2 linked regions of the Arabidopsis thaliana genome follow. The protein of the gene in region 2 purifies or fractionates together with the protein of the main gene of each other region. This does not show direct contact. Each region holds a gene or a part of one and is shown on either strand. Other genes may lie near its edges. The genes, in order: NRPE7 and DRM3.

Evidence for each region.
Region 1: the proteins of DRM3 (region 2) and NRPE7 purify together in Arabidopsis thaliana (affinity purification with mass spectrometry, with the first as the bait; one study listed by BioGRID). This does not show direct contact.

The regions. Positions count from the first base shown.
Region 1 is NC_003075.7:8,405,503-8,409,479, forward strand, and holds NRPE7 (RNA polymerase Rpb7-like, N-terminal domain-containing protein), read right to left. Parts: upstream 2,390-3,977; 5' UTR 2,209-2,389; exon of another isoform or gene 2,050-2,208; intron 1,543-2,049; 5' UTR 1,535-1,542; coding exon 998-1,534; 3' UTR 745-997; downstream 1-744. UniProt on the Arabidopsis thaliana protein: DNA-dependent RNA polymerase catalyzes the transcription of DNA into RNA using the four ribonucleoside triphosphates as substrates.
Region 2 is NC_003074.8:5,908,148-5,915,108, forward strand, and holds DRM3 (S-adenosyl-L-methionine-dependent methyltransferases superfamily protein), read right to left. Parts: upstream 5,199-6,961; 5' UTR 5,002-5,198; exon of another isoform or gene 4,892-5,001; 5' UTR 4,810-4,891; intron 4,731-4,809; 5' UTR 4,692-4,730; coding exon 4,689-4,691; intron 4,606-4,688; coding exon 4,474-4,605; intron 4,337-4,473; coding exon 4,240-4,336; intron 4,150-4,239; coding exon 4,052-4,149; intron 3,970-4,051; coding exon 3,873-3,969; intron 3,855-3,872; exon of another isoform or gene 3,443-3,854; coding exon of another isoform or gene 3,373-3,442; coding exon 3,221-3,372; intron 3,074-3,220; coding exon 2,974-3,073; intron 2,781-2,973; coding exon 2,689-2,780; intron 2,509-2,688; coding exon 1,147-2,508; 3' UTR 787-1,146; downstream 1-786. Other genes in the region: EMB2786 (COMPLEX 1 LYR-like protein), read left to right, coding at 131-228, 470-548. UniProt on the Arabidopsis thaliana protein: Catalytically inactive DNA methyltransferase that acts as regulatory factor for DRM2-mediated DNA methylation. Required for maintenance of non-CpG DNA methylation.

The sequences.
Region 1 (3,977 bases), on a different chromosome or scaffold from region 2:
AGTTATTTCCCCAACAAACACATTTGCCCAGTAAACCTTGTTTTCATATACCTCTATTTGGTATCTTAAAACAAGGTATTTTCATAAGTTGAAAGTTTAGTTTGAAATTAACTATAAAAATATATAAAGCTTTCGTGGGCATGTTCTTGCAACTTGGCATGTTTTTCTTGATGACGTGGACCAAAAATAGTTTGATAAAATACATGCAATTACTATCTAATTGTTATCAAAGTGTTTTTCAGATACTTCTTTTTATCGAAATAAAATTGTTGGCTATTAGCTAAAGATATTAACTAAATAAATATTACTATTCGATTACCGAAGGAAAGGAGAGTCGGGCCAAGAACGAGTATTAACCAATCCTGTGTCATCCACAAATCCAAACATTGAAAATTTTTTATTTAGGGTTTTAGACCTGCCAAGCAATCACATTCTCATGTGATTCTCGTGGGCTTTCTTTCGTCTTCCCAAACTCAACGATTATTGGGTTGGGCTGTTAGACTTTGAATTGACATAGCGAGCAAAAGTAGCAATATTCAAAGCGGCACCGCTTCAATCGGCGCAGAAACAGTCACTGGCAAAAAAAAACTCATACGCCGCTTCGAAATCTGGAGACCTGTTGAAACTAGAGATTTCTCGATGGTGATGAGTGATGATTAATCCATAATCGTGCTCTGAGATTGGTTCGGTTAACTTTGGTTTGAAATATTTCTTATATATCCGGTTTGACTACGATTTCAGAGTCTAATTCCAATCTGAGCTTATCATATGGAAGAGACTCACAAGCAAGCAAAAATCATTACCAATACAAAAAACCTAAATTAGACCAATCTTTCCTCTTGAAGGTGAAGGATTTCATTACATTCAAAGATCAATGTTTTCATTATTTGCACAGCTAGAGAGTAGTTACTAGTTACTACCAAACATGAACTAAAGCCGAGTTATATAGACATAAGAGATTGCCCAAAAACGCCATCACATGAAGAGATCAAGCAGATCACTCTTCAGATAATGGTCCAAGATAGTCACCTTCCAAGCTAGCCAACGCCTGAAACTCCCTCTCTACTTCCATCCACTTTATCCCAATCACAACAACCCTCACTGTAGTCTCAACCTGAATCCTAGACGTCTTCTCATTCATGAAGATCGGGTTCTCTCCAGGGATATACTTGTAATCCGGCATCTTCGTGTAGGAGAGGTAAACATTCTCGATTGGACCACACCTCATGAAGACACCGTGCTTCAACACCTTGTGCACCACACCGTGAATTATCTCTCCTTTGAAGATCTTGAAAGTCATTCCGCTGAACATTACCGGGAACAAAACTTCACCGGTGTGCTCCCTGATTTTGCCTTCTCCAATCTTGTCCAAAGTTGTGACTGCCACGTAGTAGCCAAGCTCCTTGGTTGCTTTCTTGGAAGCAAACGCCTCTAGTAACTCTACTAGTATAGCTCTCTTCAACATCAGCCCTTTGGCATCCATGTTTTCAGCTGGAATCATCACGTTCCATGGTAATTGGACTTTGAGAAACATTGTTCAACCTTCAAAACCAAATCAAAGCAATGTCACATAGCTATCATCATTGATCCAGAGAATAGAAATACTTTACTATCATCACATTCTTCTCAAAGGAAAGATATGAGAAAGACTCTGGAAAAAATCAAAACTGAAAGATCACAGAGAAAGGAAAAGGAAGTAGACAGTAATTTCCAGGTTTTTCTCTGAAACGAACATCTAGGTTATACAAATCATCATCAGTAACCTAAAGTAATTCATCCATAAGATAAGATCAAAGTTTCTGTTTTTATAAGAATCTGGACACAATGTAGACATGCATTAGCAAAATACCAATTTCATAACTCTACAGTACTCAAAACAGAGATTCAGAAATTAGTTTCACATTACATATCTACTAAAACGAACACTAAACAAAAAAAAAAAAAGAGCTTTTCACTAAAAAGTATTTCTCACAGGCATTTAAACAAACACTACGCAGGCATGTAAGTAAACAAGTAAGAGTCCTCAAAATTCTATCAAAAGTTACCAACTTTAATAAACCCACAAAAGCTTTGTATTTGCATTTTACGATTAAGTACTCAGACCATCACTTTTTCCACATTTTCTCGAGCAACCCATGGACCAAGACCTTAAGACTGAAAATAGCTGAGAAATTGATTGAGAAAATCAACAGAATACTGAACCCATGCCTTTGTTTATAGATTCCTAAGATATCAAACGAAACGAGAATCGGCAATAGAGAGTGAAAACTGGTTTTGGAGAATCAACGATGCGAGAAGCGAGAGTTTGTTTTGTTGTTTCAAACTCTCTATCGACTGAGAAGTAACACTCGGAGACTTTCAATTTTGGTTTGTTTACATGTCGATGGGCTGAAAAGACCCATTATTACTGAGACTATATTATTATTGGCCCATTAGTATTCACTTTTTCTCTATTTTCTTTTAAATATATTTTCAGAAACTAATTAATTTTTCATTTTAAGATTACTAATTTCATATATTTAAAAACTTTGAAAATTTGATTCTCAAATATTTAAAATTAGATTAAACTTTTTAATCATATTCGAAAATATACTTTTTCTTCTCTAAATTGATAGAAAAATACAAATTAATATATATTTCCTTTTAATTATTTAATCTAATTAGATTAAAAAAATATCTCCATTGAAATCTGGTCGTCTGTCACGTGTTGTGATTATGTTTTTTTTTTACTCAAACATGCTTCTCATATTAAATAGGGATTAAAATCCCGGTATAATGCGTTTGTGATTACATTAGGAATGAGGTTGTAAAAATGCGACAAAGCATCAGATGGTATTCTATGTTTCGCTAAGATATCCGCCGCTTTGTTGTGATCTCTTCGAACCCAAGTAAACTGGCAGTCATTAAACTTGTCTCTCCAAATGCGTGCTTCCCTAATCCAATTAAAAATATTGAAATTGTGTTGCCGACCATGAAGCAGTTCCACCACTGTTTTGTTATCGCCTTCAAAACATACTCTTGTATATCCCTTAATCCAACAGCTTTGCATTGCAAGAATTAGTGCCTGAAATTCGCTTTCCATAGCTGTGTTTACATGTCTTCCTTTAGCTTGACCTGCACCTCTAAAGGTGCCTCTGTCGTCTCTAATCACCTATCCTGCACTAGCCGGTTGTCCGTTGATAAAGCTACCATCATAGTTGCATTTGATCCAGTTTGTATTCGGCTTCATCCAATGATATTCGCCTTGAAAACCAACGTTCTGAAATTGCGGAGGGTTCGTCATTCCCAAACTTCTTTCATCTTGATCATGCCATTCCTTTGCATCACTTCGAGCTTGTCGTATTACCTTTCGCCATGAAAAGTTCCTTTGTTGAAAGGTGAGGTTGTTTCGTGATATCCATAGTCTCCACAAGATCCAAAGAGGTAAGTGCTTAAGATGTGGCGTTCTTGTCCCCGTGTTACACTTGAGGATCTCTCTCAACTTTTCTTCCCATGGGGTCCGTGGGTCATAGAGTAACCTGTTTGATATTCCAGAGCCTCGCCAAACAGCTTTCGCATAGGTACAGTTGAAAAATAAATGCTCTGTTGTCTCTTCCTCCATACAACATCTTCGACACCTAAAGAAACGGCTAATGTGATTATGTTAATTACTCATTTTAAGAAACAAAGTTTTACTTAATAACCTTTTCCCCTTTTTAATAAGGTTTTCCCTTTTTTATGTAATTTTCTTATTTTCATTGAAGTGTATCCTTTTTAACTATATACTTTAATATAAACGTTTTACTTTTTTTGTCAAAAAATTGTATTTTTCATTTTTATGTTAGCATAGATCAAAATCTAATTAGAAGAAGTTCTTTACATGTATCAAAATCTCATCAATTGATTAACACATGTCATAAAAAAAGAGAAAGATGGAAGGTCATGATTTCTTCTAATCTCTTTTTTACTGTTTCTTTACATAAGATTCTTATCTTTGA
Region 2 (6,961 bases):
GATATTATCGTCACTTCTGTTTTGATTCCTCGAGAAAGAGATTTGTGTGTTTCTATTAGGATTAGATATCCTGGAGTGGAGGAGATATATGAAGTGAACTTTTTGTTATGTTTACGTTTGTGTCTTGCAGCAACACAACACTGAGCTAGTGGTTGGTATGGTGAGGCAACAATTTAAGAAACACATGAATGAGACAGACCCTGAGAAGATTCAGAAGCTTAAAGATGAGTGAGTTTTCTTTTTTTCCCCAATCTCTACTGAATACGATAACTTAAAACCTTATAATTAGATCAGATGTAAAACTTGTTCGTTGAGGCATGTTTCTGCAAAAGATGATGTTTCACACAAACACACACATATACAGCTGCTTGAGATCATATATTACAGAATACTCTTGGGATAAGTATGTTGTATACATCTATTTGAAAAGTTTGGAAAGACTCAAACTTCTCTGGTACTGTATATGTAGTGCTGCTCGGGGACTCATCAATCACATGTTGTTTGAGTCAGCGAAGCTGACAGGAGGCAAGGTTAGCCAGAGATCCTGATGCAGTCTGGTTGCAGACTCTCCCATTGTTATTCTCTCTCTATCTCTCTAGTCAATGCTTGTAGGCTAACAATGCAACTAAGTTGGCTTGAATAATAGACTTGATCGAGAAGCCTCAGTGACTCAACATTGAGGATTTTCCTGTGCAATCAATCAAGTGGTTCTCTATTTCAAATCTAATCATACAGTTTTTTTTTTACTCTGGCTTAGATTTGTTTATATTTTGGATTAGACACTTCAGAAGTTCAGATCATTTCCAGTTACTTTTGACGTAAGATGAGTATGAATTATGCAATCAACAACATTGAGCTAAAAAAAGTGCTAATATTATACATAATTGTGAACAGTACACAACAACATTGACCGCATGATTCACTGCTTATCTCTCCGAGAAGTAACATAGCAAAAAAATAAAAAAGACGATATTCCACGCTTCTATGAAGATTATGGTACAGACTGATTCATTAAAGCATCAACTGCAAAACAAGAAAAACAGTTCCGTAATTGAAAGTCTCCACGATAAAGAAAATGGAAGACTCCTTCTGAGATTAGACAAGTCTCCAGGTTCTTGAGGACGTAAAGGCTCTTGGTCAACTTCACTACATCATATCTCTGACACGTTTCGTGACACGAGCAAACTCGTTAAACAACGTATAATCAAATTCACAGGCTTCACTATTTGAGATTTCTTTAGAGAGATCAAGTGGTGTTGATGGGTTCTGGCAAATGACAAAGTCAAATCCTCCAAATCTCTGCATCAGAGTCTCCAGCCTCTTTGCCGTTAAGCTTTTGATTTCTTCAATTTGCACTAGCTCACCGGTTTGTCCCGAAGTCTGCCACCATCTTTTCAGTATGTTACGGCTCAATCCACAGGACTCTACAGAGACTACGCCTTTTAGATGGATTCCAAGACGGTCCAATGCAATTTCCGCACCACCAATCCCGCTAAAGAGTGATAAAACTGTTAAACCTTGGGGAAACATAGACTTGAGTACAGAGAGATGGTAACCCAATGTGTCTGTTTGGAAGCAGTAATCAAACAACTTCAATCTTTCAGCCAACCTTCCACCACCGATGTTTGTGTGGTTCATTGGATATCCCATAATGCACTCTAAATGTTCAGGCTCCAAGGGTGAGAGGATGTTTGGTGCTATCCAAATGAGATTGGAGGTGTGACAATGTCGAAGTATTAAAGTCTGGTCCTGTTGAGTAGGCTTTCCCTTGCATTCAGCTATACGGCGACCAATTCGTTCACAGAGAAGAGTTGCATCTTTCATATTAGAACACGTGCCGCTATTGAAATGCTTTCTGATATCCCATTGTGGCCACCAACTCCTCATGTGTGGCATTGCGTCTTGTATAGTTAATCGAGGGTTCGGGAGGGTATTAAACCTGTTAACAGTGGGAAGATTGTGCAGGTACCCTTCTGTCCTACGGAGCGCTGAACACAACCGAGTATCTACATGTTCGGGGTGAATTCCGAACAAGAAACCCGAGATCTTCGACCACCAGCTAGGAGAAAGTTCACCTAACTGTCCATAGAAGAAATAAGGTCGTCTGGCTACTTTTGGACCAAGACTCTGGGACAAACGTGGCTGCATTACACTGGGAAATTCATATGTGTTATCTTTCCACTCATCTTGCATCCATGGGGTTTCCATAAACGAACTTGAGTCACCCATATCTTCGGGCCTTAACCGTTTTCCTCTGTCATCGTAGCCAGTGTATTCTTCTGGATAGGCATTCTCATCCTCATCTTTTGGTCGCTTACCTCTCGAGGTCTCTCCCACATTGTCAGTGGCAGGGAAAGGAAAAGACTCAATACCAGGATCTGGTTTTATATTAGCAGTGCCACTCGACGAACCCCCACCACCATCCTCTTTCTGAGCACCAACCCCAACAAATCTCCAACTCTTTGAAAGACATGTACGATTCACTGCAGGAGCAGCCGCTGAAACTTTCTACAGTGACACCAAATATCATTGAGTTAAACTCCAACAATATCTTAGTTTAATTAAGAGAAGAGTGTGAGATGGTTTAGGTGCAGTAGCAGCAGCAAAAGCTCTAGTTTCAGCACTTCACTTTACAAGTGCATCATTGGAGGTCGAGTAAAAATTAATTAAAAACATTAGTGTACATACCTTTTCTATATCTTCAAGGTCATCATGGCATTCCGCAGGAAATTCACCAGTAACAATTGACTCAGCAAGGACAGAAATCTGACCTTTTGTACCTGAAGAGGTGCAAAATAGATTATATACCAGTACAACAGGACGGGCTGCAAAACAAATGATAGGATTTCTTTCACCCTAAAAGTATCATAATCACCCCCGACAACATAAACAAGATACGTTTCATGTCTACATTTTTTTCTTTCAGACATATAACAGTCATGGGATGAACAGATAAGTGCCTCAGTTGCTCACCTATCTTCTCAATTGCCATTGAAATTTCATCATTAGAGAATCCCATTTCCAGTAAACGCAAAGTCTTGTCCATTGTTTCAAACAATTGTTCATTGGGAACCTGAATTTAAAACACAAAACAAAGGTTAGAGGTAATAAAGGTAATAACAACATGAACAACACAGAATGAACACAAAAGAAAGGTAGTGGAATCTACAAAAGCATTGACAATAAAATCAACAGCTAATGTCAAAAAAGCACCAAAGACCTCAGGTCCTCGAGCAGTAACTGGAGTGACATCTTCATCTTCTTCATTGATCTCAGCACCATCAAGTGAATCTTCGGATTCCTCCGCATACTTTTCAGCTAATTGAGCAGCAACAATGAAGTCCACCATCTCATCAATTGGTGTGTCTTTACCTATCACACAGAACAAACAATCATGAAGAAAGGATTTGGGGATAGGCCAAATGATAGCTGCTATCTGCATGCTAAGTTTCTATATAGCTTTGAATAGTATAAGTATCAATTTTTTAGAAACTATTTACAAGTTTCTAATACGGTCACAGGGAATGGATTTTCCACTTTAACATTAATAAACAACAGCTTCATAAATGTTATTTCTCTTTTCAGAGAGTTATAATATACTATAAGCCTCCTTAGTTTGCCTATATTAAATGTCATACAATCAGAAGTTCCAGTATGAAGAGATGGTTAATCTATAAGAAGACAAAGAAAAAATATCGTGCAATAGTGAGAAATTGGTCTTGCAATGTACACGAGGTCTAATCACTCAAAAAATAACCTGAAAAGAAGAAATTCTAATATGTTAAACCATGAATAGACACGGACAAAAAGGTGTAACTTTGTAACATGTTTGAATTTTGAATGCAAAGCCAAAGACATTGTGAATACATTACCAAGCCTATCCAGTGCAAAGTCAACAAGATTTTCTGGAAACTTCATAGTTAGTAACGCAATCCTTATACGGTCAGTTTCGTATTCAATATCAGGTTCCTGTCAAAGAAAAGCAAGAAACATTAAGAAATTACACAGAATGAAAGACAAGACATGTGGGATCACACATTATGCGCTTTACCGGTTTGGGTTCCATTAGCCCATGAAAGCTAGGTCCAGGAGGTTCTGTTTCAGTACTCTTAGTGAGAATCTCTAATAGCAACTCAAAATCATCTTGACCTGGATGCGAAGAGGCAAACTCAGTAATCATATATACCCCAAATGAAAGTTAGCATGCATGGTAGTTTTTTACAGGAAACTGAAGAATACCATTTTCGTCAATTGCTTTCTGAACAAGAGTTGGGCAAAATCCCATCTCAATCAGCAATGACTTAACATTACTTCCAGAAGAACTAGCAGCATTGTCCTGCACATCAAGTATGAAACAATAAGAACCTTTCTAAACCACTACTTGTTCTAAACAGTAAAATGTAGACACAGTGGATGTTTAAGAATCTTAGCCACTTATGTCCTTTATGGTATAGAAAGGGTAACAAAACATACACCAATCTGCTGAGGGAAAGAGGTGTCGCAGGGCAAATCAAAGTCCAAGGTCTCTGGTTTTGGAAACAGTATCTGCTCATTCCTTTCATGATTAGAGGAACCTCCACTTCCATTTCGTCTACGCATATCAGCCTGCAAGATTCCAGAAAAACTTATGAAAAACATGCAACACAAAAAACAAAAGATAACATTCCCAAAGTAGCCAAATTCCATACCATTTGAATTAAAATTCACACACAAAATCTCACATGAAAGCCCTGCAGATAGATACCAGAGAGATTATGTCAGTGTCCCCAAATAACACAAAAGATGAACTTTAAATGGAAAAGAATTAACCTCATTGATGTTGATTTTATCCCATAAACGGCAAGGGAGAAGATGGAATCAATAAAGCCCCAAAAATAGAACACTCCTCGAACTAAGAGATGAAACCAACCACGAGTGACACTTAAAAAAGCAATTCCGAAAAATCACACAAATTCCAGAGATTGCGACAAAGAGAGCGAGAGAGAGGAAGACGGTGCATGCCTGTGCAGTGGTCCGCGTCTCACCCAATCGAGCCCAGTGCGGAGGAGGAGAAGCTAAAAAGTTATGAAGTTGATCGCAATGTTGCGCGCCGCGTGGACTACACTGCCGAGACTAATTCGGAATTTTATTGATTCCCTTTGAGCAGTCCGGTAGATCGAGCGCGTGAGGAAAAAACGAACGGTCCAGATCATAGAGTTTGGAACTTCGACCAACTTTCTATTACAACTATGTTGTAGTTCTGTTTTAATATTTCAAGTTTTTAGAATTTTAAATTTATGTTTCAGATGCTAAAATTTGTATACACTAAAAACATCATTTACCAAAACTTGATGAAAAACGAAAGAAACTACTCTCAATTCCCAAGCTTTGAGAAAGATTAAATTTTGCAAAGATAATTAATAGATTTCGAGCTATTTCTCGACAAAGATTATGTTTTTTTGGCCCAGTTTTGTTTAGTTTGTAACAAATTGGAGCACCGAGGTTATGTGACCCAAATGTACGTAGACTAGTCGAGGCCAATGTATATATAGTACTACTATTGTACCTGAAAGATGATCAAACAAATTAATAAGTTGAGTGATTGGTTCTGTTAATGCAAGATTTTTTTTACTAATCTTCATCAAAGAACATGGCAAAATAAACAAAGCAAGAACTACGCCTGAAACAATCTATAGATTTTGTAAATGGACTAATTAATGACATGGTTTCTTCCTTTGCTTCGTGCATGGTGTAGGTTGCTAGATTTGCACTGAATTAATGACATGGTTTACATTTCTGCTTTATAGATTCAACGTTGTCGTCTTTGTGAATTCCGTCTAGATTGACGCTCATCAGATAAACCCTATATTTCAAAATCATGATCGCATGAAACTCCTTCACTTGTTTCTTCTATGCTTTGTTGCCTGGTTGGAATATTGAGAGAAAGAAGAAATAAGGTAAGAGGTACGAGATAATATCTCTTCTCCTTAGAGACAACAACAGAACAAAACAGAAAATGTTTTATTGAACTGAAACTTGTTAATATTTACATGACAATACAATATTAAGTTTATATAAAAAAAAAAACAAATAGACACAACAACCCAATTAGTTGTGTCTCTTTTTACTTGTGCCCTTTGAGTGAAACAACACAAACTTACAACCGTTAGCTGAAAACTCAATTACGGACCAACACTCCCCCTTAATTGAGCTTCGCTCTTCCACTTAGCTCCCTTCTCAGTTTGTCACAACTTTCGGCTTCAAACTCTTTAGTAGTAGCATCACACTTCCCCCAAATAGTCTTACCCAATTCGTAACACTTCTTATCATGATCTTTAGTAAAGTCACCACTTTTCTTTTTCTCAATCTACTTTCTCAAATTTCTCTCTCGTTTCAACAAATCCGATAGTGAAGAAGAAATCTCAGCCTTTGTTTACTCCATCGACGGCGAAGAAATCACCGGAGATGCGACTCCCAACGGTTTCTTTGAAGTGGATGCGACATCCGACGATTTCTTCGCCGTTGAGAAAAAGAAAAGTGGTGACTAAACTAAAAATCATGATAAGAAGTGTTACGAATTGGCTAAGACTGTTTGGGGAAGTGATGGTGATGCTGCTACTCTTGTGAAGCCAGAGAGTTTGAAGCATGCTTCTGTTTTTGCCTGGCCGTAACCCTAGAGAGCACCTCCTCTGCCAAATCCAGAGGAAGATCCGAAATATCTTCGTCATTGTTTCAATAAATAGTAATTAGGGTTTTACTTCCACACCTTTAGTCTTTTTTATAAAGGAATTAGTTATAAATTAGGTTACCGCCTTTGTGTCCGGGCCCAAGGAGACTACACAACGGGCCTCGATAAGAAAACCCTCATTTGTGAACGATGACAACATAGGATCATAACTATCGTTTCATAGGCAATTCTATAAGCCATGTGTGTAGTTCACTCAAAATATGTATGAACACTTTGTCTTTATCAAAACAGTGC